2 linked regions of the Cricetulus griseus genome follow. The protein of the gene in region 2 binds, or shares a complex with, the protein of the main gene of each other region. Links are inferred from orthologs where the notes say so. Each region holds a gene or a part of one and is shown on either strand. Other genes may lie near its edges. The genes, in order: Tcaim and Ogdh.

Evidence for each region.
Region 1: the proteins of Ogdh (region 2) and Tcaim are in contact, whole or in part, in a cryo-EM structure (PDB 8I0K), measured with the Homo sapiens proteins. The link is inferred for Cricetulus griseus from reciprocal best matches to the Homo sapiens genes OGDH and TCAIM. Residues at the interface, in NP_001425937.1 of Homo sapiens: Gly301, Tyr304, Arg323, Tyr354, Arg356, Ile358, Arg364, Asn365, Lys387, Glu391, Tyr394, Cys395, Gly396, Thr398, Glu399, Lys401, Lys402, Lys561, Met602, Pro605, Glu667, Gly668, Ile669, Asn709, Met734, Ala735, Ser736, Pro737, Asn738, Gln772; in NP_001269842.1 of Homo sapiens: Glu214, Gln234, Arg235, Ser236, Trp237, Gly238, His241, Ser244, His247, Ser248, Arg251, Gln255, Asp272, Arg273, Thr286, Met287, Asp288, Val289, His290, His291, Glu331, Leu332, Gln333, Pro334, Val335, Arg375, Tyr376, Glu441, Ser443, His473.

What each region holds. Positions count from the first base shown.
Region 1 is NC_048597.1:229,756,588-229,762,504, reverse strand, and holds the end of Tcaim (T-cell activation inhibitor, mitochondrial), read right to left. Parts: coding exon 5,743-5,917; intron 4,850-5,742; coding exon 4,718-4,849; intron 3,665-4,717; coding exon 3,424-3,664; 3' UTR 1,801-3,423; downstream 1-1,800. UniProt on the Homo sapiens protein: May regulate T-cell apoptosis.
Region 2 is NW_023276807.1:98,578,023-98,584,085, forward strand, and holds the start of Ogdh (2-oxoglutarate dehydrogenase, mitochondrial), read right to left. Parts: upstream 3,389-6,063; 5' UTR 3,266-3,388; intron 2,592-3,265; exon of another isoform or gene 2,451-2,591; intron 2,323-2,450; exon of another isoform or gene 2,133-2,322; intron 1-2,132. UniProt on the Homo sapiens protein: 2-oxoglutarate dehydrogenase (E1o) component of the 2-oxoglutarate dehydrogenase complex (OGDHC). Participates in the first step, rate limiting for the overall conversion of 2-oxoglutarate to succinyl-CoA and CO(2) catalyzed by the whole OGDHC.

The sequences.
Region 1 (5,917 bases), on a different chromosome or scaffold from region 2:
TTTTATATTGAACCAGGGCTGGCTCCTGACAGCCACTGCTTGCTGCTAGCAGCTGAGGGTTACAAAGGCTGCTACCAACCAGCACTGGAAGAGCAAAAAGGATCCCAGCCAACTTTCTGGCAGCAAGCTGAGAAACTTCACCCTGTATCACTCATCCCTACTGGCCCAGGATGGTTTCAGTTGGCTGCAAATATAACCTTTATAAAACCAGGGAAACAAAAAAACAAAAAAAGCTGGGCGTTGGTTGCACACGCCTTTAATCCCAACAACAACAACAACAACAACAACAAAAAAAAAAAACAGGGAAAGGTCTTCTGGGATGGTCAGATCTTTCTACTCTCTTTCCTCTGACTCATGAGGAGGTGGACAGGCAGGTGCAATAATGCCCAGCTGGGAACAGGGTCAGGTTCGCTAACAAGGACACTGGAGGCATGCTCAAATCTGTACATAGGCCTGTGAAGACATTAAGGGCTTTGGGGAGATGAGGAACCTGTTTTCTTGAGTCTTGATTGGATGCAGCTGTGTTTTACAAGATGCCAACAAAGAAAAACAACACTTCTCCAAAGGAAATGAATAGTTTATGTAGAGATAAAAGGCTAAAAATAAAAGCAGGATTCCCATCCCTTAACAGTTAGGCTATGACCATTTGGAGCCCCTAGTCACAGTGGTTTACATAAAAGGCCAGACTCAAGAGGAACACTGTAACACTGACTGCTTGAGAGGGTCATCTGTCCCCACAATAAAAACATGTAACTCCTTAATAGCTATGAAAGAGTTTCTAGGACTAGCAAGATGGCTCTGCTGGTAAAGACACCTGCCACAGAGCCCGCTCTTGAGTTGGATCCCTATGATAGAGACAATCAGCTCTTAAAAGTTGTCCTCTGATCTGTACATACTTTTACACACACAGGAAATAAAAGGGTGTTTTGGCTGGAGATGTAGCTCAGTAGAACACTTGCCCTAACAGGCACAAGTTCCCAAGTTCAGTCTCCAGCACTACACCAAAAAGGGTGGTGTTTGTACCATTGGGCAAAACTGGATGGCAGAGAAATTTCAGCCCGCCCACAGTTATTAGGTAGGCAGGGAGCAACCCTCAGGGTGAAGGTGGTGTAGACAAGACCAGATCCTGCCAGGCTGTGGGCAAGCAGGGTCCCTGCAGAGGTGGGATTTTGGTGTGAAGTGAGCCTAAGGAAATTGACTGATAGTCAGGATAGGGCTGTGTACTTTGGGCTTGAGACTGGGGAGGTCTGCCCTTGATGCCATCAAGTGACTGCACCCTGAGATGCTGAGAAGCACAGGCTGTCCCTCCTCCAGTGTGCTTCCAGGTACCCATAGAGAGCACACCCACACCCACCACCACCACCACCTGGCCTACACTGCCCTCAGTGAAGAACCTCTGGCTGCTATGTGCCCAGTGTTTAGGCTCCAGTAGTGAACTGCCCTTGGCCCTTCATCTCATGTGCCCACTTCTCAAAGCCTTCCTGTCACTCATCAACTCAGAGGCTCCTTAGGGGTAGAGGCCTTTCCAGAGGGGAGGGAGAAGGGCTTTGGCAGCCCATGCTGGGAACAGACAGTCTGGTAGTTAGGGACCTAGCCCCAGCTCTCCTTGTGGGGGCAGCTCAGCTGTGCTCAGAGTGCAGGTCTCTTTGGATCCATTTCACACCAGAGGCTTCACCTGCTCTCTCTGTGGTGGGGGGAAGCACAAATATTCTGAGATGAAGTCCAAAAGATCACTTCTAACAATTTCTTACAACTACTAGTTGTCAAACTTTAACAACCAGAAAACAAGAAAAGCAGCTATATGGTCAACAAGGTATTTTTTTATTATGTAACAATTAGTTTGGAGACAAATCCAGTTCAACACACATCACAGAAGATTCTGTGTTAGCTGATGTTACAAGTGGCATAATCAATTTTCCAATAAACTATCCTATCTTTGTGAACTCTTCCTCCTCCCCCACCCTGAGACAGGGTTTCTTTATGTAACAGCTCTGGCTGTCCTGGAACTTGTTTTGTAGACCAGGCTGTCCTTGAACTCACAGGGATCCACCTGCCTCTGCCTCCTGAGTGCTGGGATTAAAGGCGTGCACCACTAAACCCAACTTGAGGACTCTTTCTTATGTAGAATATTTTGGATAGTATTTATAGCAACATTTGTCTAATTAGCATGGGTCAAAACAATAATGGCACACATACTCCTTTTACAATTCAGTTCTTATTTTGAACATACAATTGAACTGTTTAAATAACTAATGTTTTATAAAAGTCCAAAACATGAAAAACTGACTGTAATGTCTCCTTTGTTCTGATGCACCGTGGGAAAAACTCAGGATTTCCTCAGGGGAGAAGGGCACAGAGACAGAGAGAGAGAGAGAGAGAGAGAGAGAGAGAGAGAGAGAGAGAGAGTGTGTGTGTGTGTGTGTGTGTGTGTGTGTGTGTGTTTGTGTGTGTGTGTGTGTCTGCTCTGAATAGACAGTGGCCTCCCACTATGTGGGAGACATCAGAGATCACAGGAGGCTGCAGGCTGTACCTGGGCCAGTGCTGACAGCTTTTAGGAGGAGCTTCTGGATTAATGACAATAATACATCTGACTCATTCTTGGTACTAGGGATGGAACCCAGGGCCTCTGTCTACCAAATACATGCTCTACAGATATTTTGATTGGTAGAAGAAATCATGTATTTAAATAAACTAGTATCAAACAGTGTTGATAGCATATGTTTAATAGGGTTTTAAAAAATCTTTCTCAATGGGTGGTGGTGGCACATGCCTTTAGTTCCAGTACTCGGGAGGCAGAAGCAGGCGGATCTCTGTGAGTTCCAGCCTGGTCTACTGAGTGAGTGCCAGGACAGCAAGGGCTACACAGAGAAACCCTGTCTTGAAAAACAAAAACAAAAACAAAAACAGAACAAAACAAAAAACAAAAACAGAACTTTCTCAAACAAAACGTGGTTATTTAATTTTTGCTACTCATCAATCATCTGTTTTGAACATAACTGTCCATTACTGGCTACAAAGTGTGTGTGTCTATGAGATGTAACTATGAAGACATACATTGAACTGTGTTGGATGTAAAAATGAGTTCTAGTACTAAAGAGCTATACTGAATGAGGTCAATTTTTATACACACACATCCACTCATATAAAAATATATGACTTACCAAACTCTCTATTACATATCTTTAAAATAGTTTTCTTTCTAAGGATCTTTTTGCCTAGCCATCAGCATCATAAAACTAGGGGATAAAACCTTTGAAAGATAAGTTTCTTAGCATAAAATTACCACAAAGGAAGGCTCACTCCACTTTTAGAGCAGCAGTCAGGAACTGTGTTCTAACCTGTGAACACTAATAATATATCAAACTGAATTTAAATAAATTCAACAGTTTCTCATTTCTCCAGAAAGTAAAACAGCTATCTGTGTTACTTGGTAGCTTCTCCTTTCTTCCAGTCCCAGGGGATGCACAGGTCTCCATCTTGCATAACAGAATAAAAATGTGACACACAGAGGCGCATCCCATGTAGATAAGGCAGGGACTGTCCTAGAAGTCTCTTACAACAGTCCACCATTTGTCTACTAGAAATGCTGGGCTCTTTATATAACTTCTCCAGGGAAAACTTCTTTGTTGAAGCCTGAATCAACTCGTTTTCAATAACTTTTAACCTATTAAATAAAAAAAATTGTCATAAGCTATTATTAAATAAGATAAAATATATATTCTTAAATGTTGGGGTGATTGCATAGTGCCCATACAAGGCAGTCATGGGGAAAAGACATGCCAAGAGTTATCCTGTGCCCAGTACTGGTTGATTTATTTCTACATAAAACTATAAAAGTACTTAATCTTTTTAGCATTAGTGAAGTAAAAATGATACACACTTTATTCCTAATTTCCAAACATTTATTATTTTTAATGTGTATGGACGTTTTGTCTGCATGGATGTCTGTGCATCACCTGTGTGCCCATTGCCCTTGGAAACCAGAATAGGGTGTTGGATTCCCAGAACTGGAGTTACAAATGGTCATGAGGTACAATGTGGGTGCTGGAAATCGAACCTGTGTCCTGTGGAAGAGCAATCAGTGCTCTTAACAGCTGAACCGTCTCTCCAGTCTAATAGTACATAGTTTAAAAAGCTTGCATACACCTCCCCTAGACACTAATAGTGACTAAGTGAAGAAAAAACTACGAGTATAAATCCTTATTAGGATGTTGAGATCAGGCTGTACCCTGCTCCCGAGCTGTTTCTCCCTTCCTGCTCACCATCTGAACCTGCTGTCCTGTCCACCTGTCTGTCCATTCCTTTATGTGGACCCATTCCTACCCTTTCTCCTCTACAAGGGACTCTACAGCTTCAAATCTGTGATGAGGAACCACTGGCTGTCAAGTGATTCCAAGTTATAAACAACACAGAAACAGGACTAGTTTTGAACTGGTTACACTTTAAAGTTTAAATATAACAGGGCTAGAGAGATGGCTCAGCAGTCTTGAGCACTTGTGATTCTCACAGAGATGCAAGTTCAAATGTCAGCACCTACATGGTGGCTCACAACTGCCTGTAACTCCACCTTCAGGGGTTCCAATGCCCTCTTTGGTCCCTGCTGATACCAAGAGAAAAACAGCCATGCATGAATAAAACAACTGAAATGCAGACAATGCATTCTATTATCTGTCTGAAAGTCATGCCCTCAAACATCCTGGAAGTGGACAGCACTTACTCCTCCCTTCTGGTCATGTTCTCTCTTGCCTGCCGAGCTTTGGCTCTCATAAATGACTGGAGGCCTGCTGGATCTGAGAGGGCTGGGATGTTAAAATGTCCAAGTTCATGCAAGGTTGGCTCATACCTGTCACTGAAACAAAGTGTGTATTAAGGGAAACATCACCACTTCCACAGACAATGCTTTTTTTTTTATCTCAAGTGACTAAAGAATAGTCATCAGAAAATCCATATTAAATTACAGCAACAACGATGATGACATGCTGTTGTCTGTGACATGGCAGGGACTAGCTTCAAGGTAAGTCTGTGAATACTTGAGATTGCATTTAACCACATAGGATAATGCAGGTAGCGAGTACACACACACACACACACACACACACACACACACACACACACGTGTGTGTGAGTGCACGCTACCTACTGACTTTACATCATGATTGAGTGATTTACTTCCCTGATCAGTGGCTATGTTTTCAAAGATTGTTGTAGAGATCCACTCTTCAGCCATTCAGCTTGGCTTTTGACATATGCAGAACAGGGCTGTAAATACAATTCTTTTCACAAGTAGTGACATTCTTTGTTTTGTTTTTGATAAGGGGTTGCATTGTTCAGCTGAGGCTGGCTGTGAGTCTCTTCTTCTGCCTTGAGTACTGGGATTAAAGGTGTGTACCATATGCATGGCCTCCATTGTAAAAAATCATTTGAACACATATATAATGTCTCTGTCTGTCTTTGCAAGTGAGTGCAGTGCCTGAGGTGGGCTGGAGCTGGCATCACAGGTGGTTATGAGCTGCCAGACATGGCCCTGGGAACTGAATTGGAATCCTCTGCCAAAGGAGCATCCATTCTTAACTACTGAACCATTCTTCCAGACACTCATTTCTTTCATTATTATATTACTATTAAATTTACAAGAACCATGCTATGAAACAAAAAATCAGGTCATTGTCCTGAAACACATCCATCCGTCCGTCCATCCATCCATTCATCCATCCATCCATCGATCCAGTTCCAGATGTTTACCTGCTGAGGATCATCTGCAAGCCGCTCAGACCTTGAGGGTGGGACGGTACCCTACTTTTCAGCAGCTGATTATAGAACACATTGAGGAGGGAGTAGTACTCATCAATTGTGAATTCTGGCTGTAGCTCTTCGATATAAACCACTTGGATGCCCCCTAGAAGACTGCTTATCTGGT
Region 2 (6,063 bases):
GTATGGCAATTACTCTAACTTGTGAAACATTAGTAGAGTATCTCCATTATTTAACACAAGACTTACTTAGCCCATCTAGCCACAAGCGGGCCTACATCTAGGAGCACTTCCAAAGTCAGACCACTGAGCTAATCTATGTACCGGAGTGTGAAGACTGCTGTGCTCTTTCTCTATCTGTGGTTCTGCAACATCAGAGGTGCCCAATACTGCAAGGGTCTAAGCAGGCAGACTGGTGAGGGCAGAAGTACAGAAGCACTTTAAGAGGTGTTGCATTATGATACACACCTGTAACCCCAGTACTTTGGAGGTGAAGGGAAGTGCACCTCGAGTTCCAGGCCAGCCTGGATTAATTAGGCCCTATCTCAAAGAAAACAATGTTTATTCTTGTTTTTGTTTTTTTGAGACAGGGTTTCTCTGGGCTTTGGAGGCTGTCCTGGAACTAGCTCTTGTAGACCAGGCTGGTCTTGAACTCATAGAGATCTATCCGCCTGCCTCTGCCTCCCGAGTGCTGGGATCAAAGGCATGCACCACAACTGCCCAGCTGAAAATAATATGTTCTTAAAGAGTGAAAATTATGAAATCTTTATAGAAAGCATGATAATCTGTCAACATTTTATTAAAGCACATAAAGAATTTGTTTCCTGCTAAACTCAGCCACAAACATAAATGTTAAATATAAAACAAAAGTCTCAAAAAGGTTGACAGAAAAAGCAAACTAACTTGAACCTTGAATCTTGGCACCTGAAGAGACTCAGATAGAGCACTGAAAGAGTACCACCCTTGTGGCACATGTTCCAGAATAAGTAATAGAGAAGATCTAAGAAATGCCAACAAGTAGCTGGGCAGTGGTGGCACACGCCTTTAATCCCAGGGCTTGGGAAGCAGAGGCAGGCAGATCTCTCTGAGTGTGAGGCCAGGCTGGTCTATAAGAGCCAGTTCCAGGACAGCCAGAGCTATTACACAGAGAAACCCTGTCTCAAAACAAACAAACAAACAAAAAAGGAAAGTAAAAAAAAGAAAGAAATGCCAACAGATGTAGACAAGAGAAGGCACAAAGCCTATGCTCTTAAGCCAAAGGATAGTGACAGGAGCAGCAAGATGAAAAATTTAAACAATTTTCCTACTGCAGTCAAACACCAGAGAAAACACCATTTAGAAGGCTGAGGCAAGAGGATAATCATGAGTTCAAGGTGAGCCTTGGTTGTATGTATACTGAAAGTAACCCAGAAGAGTCAGTACAAAGAAAGCAGAGAAATGAAACTAGAATAGCTAAATGAAAGCCTTAAATTTTAGCATACCACTATAAATCCTAACATATCAGAAGACCAACAGGCAGTGGATAAAACAAAATCAAGTATATACTTGTCGACAATATCACTTCAAAGATAGTAACACAGAACCTAAAGTTGAAAACACATTATTTCATGCCAGGTAGAGATGACCCACGCCTTTAATCCCAATACTTGGGAGGCTGAGGCAGGCGGATCTCTGTGAGTTTAAGGACAGCCTGGTCTACAGATAGAGTTCCCGGACAGCCAGGGCTACAGAGAAACTCTGTCTTGAAAAATCCACATATTTCTAAGAATGGCCCTATTATTATTTAATAAAGCAGACAGCAAAGAAAAGGCAATTACCAGAGACTGAGAGGGACAGAAAAATAATGAAAAGGTCAATCTATCAAAAAGATAAGCAAACCTAAATGTGTACGTATGGGGGGGGGCCTCCAAGATTGAACAGTGCCACCAAACCTGGCCACCTAAATTCAATCCCCAGGACACACATGGTGAAAGGAGAAAACCAAGTCTCACAAGTTGTCATATGACACCTACTCAAGCGCTGTCACAGGAGCATGTTGTTCCCCTACATACGAATAAATAAATGTTAACTTTTTAAATAAAAAAGAAAACTGCATAATATGGGATGCAAAGTGACAAAGACTAGAAAAAGAGAAAAGTCAATTACAGTGTCACTCATTCTAATGCCACCTCAAGGGCAGGACTACAAGACCAGGCAAACTAGCAAACGCCAACAGTGTCCTCTGCTCAGTGCCATAGCATGGGATGCACAGACACGATTCGGGCCTGTAAGAGTAATGAAATCCACAGAAAATCTGAAAAAAAAAAAAAGCTTACTTTTGTTTTTAGTTACTTGATTCTGCTTAGAGGTGAAGAAGCTGAATTGCACATTCCAACTGGCTTCGCTATATATAGATAACACCTCCGACTTAGGATCATCCTATCTAAATTGTTCTCATGTACCACGAGGCCTCAATTGAAACTGGTGACACCACTGACTTGGGCCTGCAGAGGTGCTCCTTGAGTGACCTTTTGACGTCAAGGGTCTAAAACTCCACCCTCCAATGACAACGGCGCCATTTTCTGATCCTGCAGAGCGAATCAGGAAGTTGGGTTACGCATGCGCACAACACCTAGCCCTTCCCTTCTCATTACCTTTAACTCCCCTTCTCCACACCTCACCCTGTAGATATTCCTGTGCCCTACCCGCGGGGCTCCTGTCTTAACACTGGCGTCTGCCACGTGAGTACTCTTTCCGAACTTGTCATTTCAGCGACAGGCACACTGCTCGGTGGGTAAAAGGAACATGATCTGCTAACTCAGGCGAGAGAGCACGTAGCGGGCTTCCCAGTCACTCAGCGGATTAAGTCACATCTGTCACACACTCTCGCGAGGAAAGCGGTGCGTGGATGGTGTTTCTAGGGAAACCAGTGTCACCTTGGCCCGTTGCCTGTTCTACCTCATACCGGCAGGTGGGGCTGCCGCAGGCACCAAGGTCAGCGCCGTGACCGGGCGCGGCGACCACAAGGACGGCGGCCTGCTGGGGTCAGAGCACGCAGGACAAAAGAACGCGCGCGGGCCGGAGGAAGCGACCGGACCACGTGACGCGCCGCGACCTTGGGGTTCTCCCGGGCCGCCGAGCCACCGACACCCTAGCCCGCCGCCTCCGAAGCTCCGCCGCCAGAGCCAATAGCGCTCGCCCCGGCGACCCCCGGCGCCCGTCCGTGTTCGCCAATCCCCGCCTGCCAGGCGGACCCTGCCACCCCATTGGCTACGACGCCTGTCCATCAGGCCTCGTCCTCCGCCCACCATCGCCGCCCTCCGTCAGCCCGGCTAGGTCCGGCTCCACACCCGTCACTCAGGTGCCCCGGCTGCAAGGGCGTGTAGGCCTCACCCTCGGCCGCAAGCCTCGGGTGTCAAGCGCCGAACCTCCCAGCACTGGACTGAGCCCGTCCGCCGCGCAAGGTTACCTGTCTCCCGTTCTGCTCCACCCGAGTGAGGCGCCGACACCCCACTCCGGGCTCCAAACTCTCGGCCCCGCCCCGGCGTGTGGCGTCAGCGCGTAGCCCGGCCCCAGAGGAGCGGCCTGCACGAAGGCCTGTAGGCGTGTCATGACGTCACGTTTCAGTCACTCCGGCTTCGCGCCAATGCGGAACTTGGCCACTGGCCGAAGTCGGCCTGTTGCTCACCGCGCTTCCACTGTCATTAGTAGTTAAACATGAGAAGCTTCCAAAGCCTGGCTAAGACTCCAGTAAATTCATGGCGTGTGGTGCACTCCTGTAATTGCGGCGTTTGGCGAGCGGAAGCATGAGCGTGGCGACTTAAAGACCCGCCGGCTTTGTATCTGAAACAAGCTGCACTAAATAATAGTTGGGTTGGTGAAATTTACCACTGCACAAAATAATTTGACTAACAAGATCTACATTTTTGAACACTTGTTTTGCAGCAGTCTTTGTGAAGAGTAGTTAGTCCTATTGTATAACAAGTTACACTTGGGTGTTTCTACCTGCATTCTGACAGGAAGCTCTGCTGGGATGCCCCTGGATGGCCTGGCTCCAGAGCCTGCTATAAACAGGCAGAATGCCACTAATTAACCTGTCACACTCCACTGGCCAAGAAATGCTCCCTGTGGTAATATTTTGTTTATGATCTAACAAAGCTTTTCTGAAGATCAGACTGCAAAGCTAGTCACACTAGTTAGCCATAGAGGCCAGGCAGCAGTGGTGCACACCTTTAATCTGAGCATTGGTGAGACAGGAAGACTGATTTCTGTTAGTTCAAGGCCACCCTGAGCTACACGAAATTGATCCAGTCTAAAAGAGAAACAGAGCTCACACAAAGGTGATCGAAGCACTTGGAGTGGCACACCTTTATAGGATTAAAGCACTCCTAGCACTAAGGAGGTGGAGACAGAAAGGGATATGGCTAGGCGGAGAGAGGAGTATAAGGCTGGAGGAGACAGGAGCTGGGGCAGTCTAGCAGTCTAAGCGGTCAGTCTAAGGCAGTTAGTATTTCAATCTGAGGATTTGTGGAGTCAGGATCGCCTATTTGGTCTGAGGTAGAGGTAAGAACTAGTGGCTGGTGGGGGCTGGAGAGATGATGACTCAGCTGTTAAGAGCAGTAGCTGCTCTTCCAGAGGACCCAGGTTCAATTCTCAGCACCTACACAGGAGCTCACAACTGTAATTCCAGGAGATCTGACACCTTCACACAAATACACATAAAGTAAATTTAAAAGAAAAGAAAGAGCTAGTGGCTGGCTGCTTTGCTTCTCTGATCTTCCCCCAGCCCCAATTTCTGACTCTGAGTTTTTATTAAGAACAATTAGAATTCATGTTACAGCTCCTAGTGTAAAAATGTTCAGCCATGTTTGAAAGTACACACCTATAATCCCAGAACTGGGAAGGCTATGACCAATTGGAGTTCAAGATGGACTACATAGAGGTCTTGTGGGTAGTCTGGGCTACATAGCTGGATCCAGTCTCACAAAGGGGAATGGTTCATTTCATTTTCATGTCTTTTGTTGTTTTTGTTTGAGACAGTAGCTCATGCTGGCCTCAAACTCATAATGTAGGCTGGCCTTGAACTCCTGTTCCTTTGCCTCCATATACCAAGTACTAAGATTACAGGCTCATGGCCTTTAACTCCACTCCAATTTCTGTTTTTTAACAGAGTACAGAATATAGGCTCAAAGTTTTTGCTGGACAATAATACAGACTTTAAAATACCTTATGATTTGAGGCAGTTTACCTTTGCCTATGTATGTCAGATGGTACCAGTGCTATGAATGAGACGGTTCAGGAGTCCTTTTGCCCTACTGGAAGAGAAGTCATGAGTAAGCTCTTCAAGATCTGGTCTTTAGCAGCAGTGACAGGCCATGATGCATGGCAGAAACAGCAGCAAATGGCACACCTGAGTTGTCTTCCTTCTCAGGTATTGGAGTCCTGGGCCCTACCAGTGATAAGCTCTTACATGGGGCTAGGAAGCCAAGATTCCTCAGCTCTTGGTTAGAGCTTGCTGTTGTAGCTTAAATGCAGCCTTGGTACTCAGGAGTCCTTGTTCCTCATTCGATCTAAAAGAGAGTCACAGAGAGGTGTCAAATCTTTACCGTCAAGGGTCTCATACCCCACACTGTAACACTGGCTGATTTTGGGCACTAAGGAATCCTGCTTTTCTAGGCCTACACAAGAAAGCTTTCTTTGTGTTATTGCCTCAGTCCATGATACCAGAAGTTTGCAAGAGAGGATCACTCAAGAGAATCCTTTTAAAATTGGACCTAGCCAAGCAGTGGTTTCGAACGCCTTTAATTCCAGCACTTGGGAGACAAAGACAGGTGGAACTGAGTTCGAAGCTAACCTGGTCTACAGAGTGAGTTCCAGGACTACACAGAGAAACCCTGTCTTGAAAAACAACAACAATAAATAAAATAAAACTGGGCCTTCTGTTGCAAAACCAGGGAAAGCAGCACAGGACAGCATTTCCCAGTGACCTGGGAAGCAAGCTTGGGGTATCCTGCTTACACCATACAACGGAAGTATTTGGTCCAATCCCAGCCATGACTCTTGGCACCAGACAATGAGCATGTGATTTGAACCTCTCACAGCTGTAATAAAACACTATGACTAGAGGAAGTGGTGGCACAGTCCTTTAATGTCAGCACATGGGAGGCAGAGTTCAAGGCCAGCCTGGTCTACAAAATGAGTTCCAGGACACCCAGGATAGTTACACAGAAAAACAAAAAACAACCAACCAAATCCCCCCCTCCAAAA